Linked DNA regions of Oryzias latipes. The protein of the gene in region 2 interacts with the protein of the main gene of each other region in a pairwise test. Links are inferred from orthologs where the notes say so. Each region holds a gene or a part of one and is shown on either strand. Other genes may lie near its edges.

The links.
Region 1: the proteins of intersectin-2 (region 2) and la-related protein 6-like interact in a two-hybrid assay, tested with the Homo sapiens proteins (2 studies listed by BioGRID, with this or other methods). The link is inferred for Oryzias latipes from reciprocal best matches to the Homo sapiens genes ITSN2 and LARP6.

What each region holds. Positions count from the first base shown.
Region 1 is NC_019861.2:31,088,233-31,091,288, reverse strand, and holds the end of la-related protein 6-like, read right to left. Parts: intron 2,489-3,056; coding exon 1,391-2,488; 3' UTR 622-1,390; downstream 1-621. UniProt on the Homo sapiens protein: Regulates the coordinated translation of type I collagen alpha-1 and alpha-2 mRNAs, CO1A1 and CO1A2. Stabilizes mRNAs through high-affinity binding of a stem-loop structure in their 5' UTR.
Region 2 is NC_019882.2:14,797,322-14,801,144, forward strand, and holds part of intersectin-2, read left to right. Parts: intron 1-1,391; coding exon 1,392-1,866; intron 1,867-2,077; coding exon 2,078-2,241; intron 2,242-2,331; coding exon 2,332-2,392; intron 2,393-3,680; coding exon 3,681-3,823.

The DNA.
Region 1 (3,056 bases), on a different chromosome or scaffold from region 2:
ATATTAAATAAAAGAAAAATCAGCGCTTCAGGAGAGTTTGAACCTTGATGACATCTCCACACATGTGAATGAAAACATACCAGAGCCTTTGAGCCCCTACTAATCAGATCATGCTATGGGAAGGCCTGCAGCAGACCCAGACTGTGGGAAAAACAAAGTCCTGCGCAGACAGAAAAAAAAAAAATGGTTCTTTACAGCAAGATGGCAGTTCAATCCCCGGGCAGCTCTTGAAAATAATAACAGTAAAATACAGCTATCTGAAGTGCAACATCACTGAAAGGCATTGAGAAAGCAATTCAGAGTGGCTACGAATCAGGATGGGCAAACATCGTCCCTGTATTTCACACAGAAAGCTGGAAAAAGATTGACTCCTGGATGCTTTAAAAGCAAGAAGTGGGAAAATATTTCCCTCTGAACAAAATGAACTACAGAACAATTTTGACAAAGTATACCCTCTAGGTTTTTCCAACACCTATAAACTGATTTTCAAATATCGTGTGCCAAGTCAGTCTTGAAAATCCGGGATCTCTTTAACCATCTTGGCACAATAACGATATCCAGCTTAATCCTGCTGCTTAAGACATTTGAGACAAAAACACGTAGTAAAGACAGAAATCAAACTGACGGCAATTTCAGTGATTTATTTGTACAATAGGAGTTTCAATGTACAAATGCCCCAGCTCAGATGTAAAGGCAATAAACACATGTGCATCGATTCTGCCAGACCTCAACTTTCCTCAAACCTCAATGTGAGCATGTCAAAGCAAAAACGAAAAGAAAACACAGCTTAAAAAATATAAATAAAGCAGCTACCTGCCTGTAGCAAGTGCCAAAGCATACAGAAAATGAACTTAGAATAAAAAAACGCAACAAAAATTCAACCTTTATGGCAAAAATGGCTTCAATTCAAAATATCCTAGAGTGAAATTCACATTAGACTAACACACGAGAAGGCATATGGTGATATCTCTATCAAACCCATGTGCCTGTGCCACTTGCACATTTAAAATCCAGACAATGTTGCAGGGGGAGGGGGTTTGCACATCAAATGGGACGCTCAAACCAAAGTGGACGAGGTGGAATTCTGTCAGGCTCACCCGAACCAGCACACAGCCCGAGGAAATGGAGGCAGCACGGTCCGTTTCCGTGGCGCCCTCTCTCAAACGTCCGTTTACATTCACTCTGATTTCCATTGGTAAATCCCTCATGTTACCATGGCAACGCAAAATGCCGTATAAAAATATAACAAATACTGAAAACTAACGCACTTGACAAAAATATATCTACACAGTCTCAAATGTTCGAGGGAGGGGGCGGGGCAAACATGGCCAAGTTTCTGATGGATCTGGAAGGGGCAGGAAATGCATAAGGATGTGCCTCGTATCAAGTATCAAGTCTGAGTGGCGGCAGACTTTCCTCTCTCAGCAACAGTGATGCTGTGAAAGCCGCGGGTGCCGTCGGGACCCCTCGGCAGCCTCATTACTCCGGGTGGCAGGCCGTCTGCGTTTTGGATCTTTCTCCCCAGCATCGGGCTGCCGACTGGACTGCTCTCCTGAGACGCCACCTGCTTGCGCCGTTGAACCCACGGACTCCCTGAAGGGGTGAGGCTGCTGTCTGAGGAGTAGTCTGCCCAGCGGCGCCCCGCCTCGGGGCTCAGCCTCCCCTCACTGGCGAGGGGAGACTTGTGCGAGTGGGGGGATTTGCGCTGAGGACACGGGCTGGCACGAGGACTCGACCAGGGGCTGTTGCGTGGAGACATACCAGGACTTAGGTGATTGTTCTGGAAGTTGATGCCAGCTGTGGTGGGGCTGAGCTTGTTGCAGGAAAGGGATTTTCTAGCCAGCCTGGGCGATGTGGGGGTGCTCTCCGTTTCTGAAGAGCTGCAGGCGGAGTCGTCTCCGTGATACTGGAGCTCTCTGACTCTGCTGTTCAGAGAGCGACTCTTGCGCATCCCTCCCTCCTCGCGGGGCCGTTCTTTGGGCACCTTCTTTTTAGGCGGCTTGGTTCCAATCAGAACCACTTTTAACCCCAGGGAGCTGTTTCCTCCATCTTCACTTCCTACTGCATCGTTGGCTTTTACGGCGGCTTCCACCTCCTCAAACTCCACAATGGCGCACTCGTCAGCGCCTAACTGAGGGTAGCGCCCGCTCAGCCTCTTCAGGTCAGCCGGCAGGTCTTTCCCAGGCTTCAGGACTCTCACAGAAGAGATGGCGCCAAAAGTTCCAAATTCTTTGAGCAGCAGCTTCATCAGCTGCTCCTGCTGAGTGGCTCCTCCTTCTCCGCTCCCATTCTCTTTAGTTAGAACGGCCAAATCAGGCCACTTCTGCAGATCGCTCAGCAGCAGCATGCGGCTGGGCAGCGACTCGCTGGCGAAGACTGGCACCGCGGACTTGCGCCGCACTTTGCGACCCTCTTCGTTCAGCTCAAGCATCTTTGAGTGCTTCAGAGCATAAGCGGTTGTTCTCCAGTCACGAGTCAGGTGTTTCACCTGCAACAAGACAACACTTCTGTCACTATGGCAACACAAAACCTTTTGATAGGGGTATTGCACAGCCATTAGGCTAAAACGGATCCCACCTCAAACATGAATACAACCATTCAAGACTATTGCTTGCCTTTTAAAGTGCATTTATGAAGCTTAAACTTTGTTGCGTGCGGTTCAATAGAGCCAAAAACCCTGTTGTATTTGCTTATCAGCCTGTTTGGACAGATTTGTTATTGTGGCATAAATAAATTCGACTAAATGAGCCAAGAGCTCTGCATGCATGAGCCTAAAGTGTCACCTGCTGTTGTGAAATAAAGTGAGAACATTATTGAGCACAGTCATCCTGACACCAGACTTCCAAAAAAATGCTACTCTCATCTCACGAGCTTCACTCCAACCTCCTGCAGAATTAGGTTCTACACAGGTCCTCCACTCCACCACTAAGGACGGTTTCTACGGTTTCCCACCATCCCCTTTGTTTGCTCCCCATCCCACTACCTTACAGCCTCTCAAAATCCCCACATAACATTACTGATGCAACAAAAGTCAGAGCAATCCAGCTGTACAGTTT
Region 2 (3,823 bases):
TGATGTAGCTGCACAATCTGCAGAATATTTCTGTCTCCTGAGTACAACTCACAATTAAAAAGACAATCCCATGCTGTCTTATAGCTACCTATCAGTGAATGAAAGGAACTCAGCAATCATTGGATTAAATCATTGGATTAAAACGCTTTCCGCCTGACTGCTTCCAGTTTTCATAGCATCTCAGGGCACCACAAAGTGGACATTTTTTAATTGGCTCACAATTTAGGGGGAACAGTCCTGCACGTACATGGAAACACAGAAGAGTAGGAAAAGATTGTAAACACACAAGAAAGTTATTCTTCACTTTAACACTGCGCCATAATCAACTCTACAAGCTCATTTACAGTTTGTATACATTTTACAATCTCCGATAAATAACCTGAAAAAAATTGTGTTTTTGGTGTTATGAACATGTTCTGGTTGCATTTTGCTGATGATAGAGGACATATATTAAAGAATTAAGCTTAAAATTCAATATTTCATTGCTGTGAATCATGAGCAGACAAATAAAATGCCATTTGAAAATACACCAGGTCTCCCTACAGTCTCCCTGCTCCGCTCCATTCTGATGCAACCACTTGTAGACAAATGTACGTCTTTGTTTTCTTCATCTGAGCTGGGATCAGGACAAAAATGTACGGCTGGATAGTTCCAATATTGCTCGCCATTTTTGTTGCACCCCTAGTGTTAGGTTGGGGTTGTGAGGGGCTGTAGGCTAGCAGGACAATTTGTGTGGGGCTAGGGTTCCTCCCACCCACAGCTCGGAGATTAATTTCTGATAAACTCCTGCAGCTCTGCAGATACAGCCCTCGAAAATGACCGGGGGGGGGGGGGGGGGGGGGGGGGGGGGTTCTGGCTATAAACAACATAATCATAATTAAAAGACCAATGGGAACGATTTAAAAATAGATCAAAAGATGATTGGAGTGGGTCCATGCAGACAGATGTGACACAGAGTCTGCAGATGTTTTTTCAACAGACTCATGTTAAATGATGCATGTTAAAACCCTTCATAATATAGGAAGCACTTTTATATAAAATGCAGCTTTCTACTAAGTTTAGTGTAAGGAAGAGTTGCAGCCATTGTGGTCACACTGATGTCTGGCACAAATATTACAAACTCTGGACTAGAGACTGCTGCTGGACTACAGTCTGACAACCAAGCGTATTTTGACCTGTTTAGTCTACGAGTTAGTGAAAATCCAGTGAAATTTCTGACGTTTTTTTTAAAAAAAAGTCTTGAACTGATGCAAAATAATAAAATAAGAAAGCTCTGATCTAGGGGTTTTAGATTCAAATTCCTTGTAGATGTTAAAATTTACAAGATATTTGGTAAAAGAAAAAACATCCCGTGAAGTCTTTTAAAGTGTTGTTTTTGTTTTTTTCTACAGACAGAAGAAGCTGGAGCAGGAGAGGAGAGAGCAGGAGCAGAGAGAAAAAGAAAAAAAGGAGAGAGAAGAAGAGGAGGAACGGCAGAGGAGGCTCCTGAAGGAGCAGTGGGCTAGGCAGAGAGAGGAAGAGGAGAGAGAAGCACAAGCTCGCCTCCGGGCTGCCCAGGAGAAAGCACAGGAAGAGGAGCAACAGAGGAGGGAAGAGGAAAGAAGAAGGAGAGAGGAGGAGGAGGAGAGGCAGAAAAGAGAACAGGAAGAGGAAAGGAGGAGAAAGGAGGTGGAGGAGAGGCAGAGAAGGGAAGAGGAGGAGCGGAAGAAGAGAGAAGAGGAAGAAGGGAGGAAACTGAAGGAGTTGGAGGTGATGAAGAAGAAGGAACTGGAAAGAGGAGGACAGCTGACAACATACAAAGCTTTGTATTCATTTGTTGCCCGCAACGCAGATGAGCTTAGTATAGATGCAAACTGCCTCATCCAGGTAAGAAAAAAGCTTCTATAATTTTTAAATATCATTAATAATCTGCAGCTTAATATCAGCGAAAAATATTCTTACATGAAAATATTTCCTTTAATAAACTAACTGGATGACTAATTGCTACCACTTATTTTATGGATGGATTATTGTTTGTTATGCAAAATGTTTTTTCTTCTAATCTCACCTTGTTGCATATTTCTGTCTGTTGTGGCAGGTGAATGAGCTCACTGTGGGCGAGCCTGGCTGGTTGTGTGGGACGTACTGTGGAAAGAGGGGCTGGTTCCCCCAGAGTTACGCAGAGAAATGTCCCACCTTCCTCACCTCCGAAGCTGCTGCTCCTGCTGCTGGAAAGAAATCCTGTCTTCAACCAAACACAAAGTATGAGGCCAAAGTTAAGCAGTTTTGGATATTTTCCTTGAAAGTTGTGTCCAGTGCTGTCTCTTAAAGCTGGTCCCACTTGTATTGCAGAGATCCAGCTGTGGAGAAAGCAGACAATAACACTGCTCTTGTAAATTCAGATCCTTCACAGGTGAGACGATCTTAATATGCCAGATGTAGTTAAAGCATTCCATCTTTCTGTTATCATCTCTTTAATCTTCAGATTTAAGGTAAATGTCATGGAAGAAAGTCTTTTTTCACATTAAACTGCAAGAAACATTCCAGAATACAATGTTCTTTGCTGATATTAATAATTTTTTCTCACAATTTTTTACTCTGATTTTGATTAAATACTCACTCTGATAAAAAATTGTGTTGTTTTTTTTTACATGGGCTTGTGGCATTTTTCTGATGATTGAGAACATATATTAAGAGATGCATTAAGAGATGCATTTCTTTGTTCAAATCGTTGTGAATCAGGAGCAGATGAAAGAATGCTGTTTGTAAAAGATGGTATTTGTGACGTAGAAAATACGCCGAGCGGGACACAAGCTCCTTGCTCTGCGCTCTCAAGAATGGGGAGGGGAAGGGGGGCGGGGTTGCTCTTTGCCAACAGTCCAACCCACAACTCAGGGGTAAATTTCAAATGTACTGATGCTCTGCAGAAACTGTGTCCTAGAAAATTACAGGTGTTTTTTATTTTGGCTACAAAGGCATATTCGTATTCACAACAAAAGACCAGTGGAAAACGCCTTTGAAAATAGATGATTGGACTGGGACTTTAAAGCATCGCTTCAAATACAACACAACCAAGTGGCAGTGAAAGATGTGCATCACAGCAAATCAAAAAGTCAAATGTTTAAAGGTCGTAGAAACTCAAATAGTCCAAATCATTCATACACGTAGCCATGGTTTAAGTGTATTTTCTTTATGCCCTATTAATAAGGGAAAACATCCAGAAGGAGGAAGCAATGTCCAACAGAAAAGACTTGTTTAGACACTTTTAGGTCAGAGAGGACAAAAACAAAACAAACACTAGAGCATCTCAATTTGAATAAAGGAATACTTAAAAGTGCAATTTAAGCCTAACTGTCTTCATATCTGTCCTCTATCATCAGAAAAATTACACAAGAACATGTTAATAACACCAAAAACGCCATTTTAATCATGGTGGCTCATCTTGGCCTTACACTGTAAGTGGGTCTCGATGTGTCAGACCAGCTGCTGGTGCCACAAACGTGCACGCACATCTTTTGCCGCAGCACGCGTATGTATTTTTAGCTTCTCCCTGTTGGGACTCATCCTCTCTCAGCTTCTCTGTGGGTCACACTCTGCCGTTTGCTGAAGTCCACCCGACCGTCGTTTGTGTTAGTGGGTCTGTCCTCAGTCAAATGCTGAGAAAGTTACCTGCTGACTGATGCCTGCGCTTTGCTCTCCAGTGTTCGGTCACTCTGCTCGCCAGGGCCATCTCTTCGTGGTCAGCCACCTCAGGTGGTCACCCAGACTCCCCACCTGAGGTGGGCGGAGTGCTGTTGAGCCTCTCGCAGGATGACATCATCACTGTGCTGCAGCAGAGGGATGA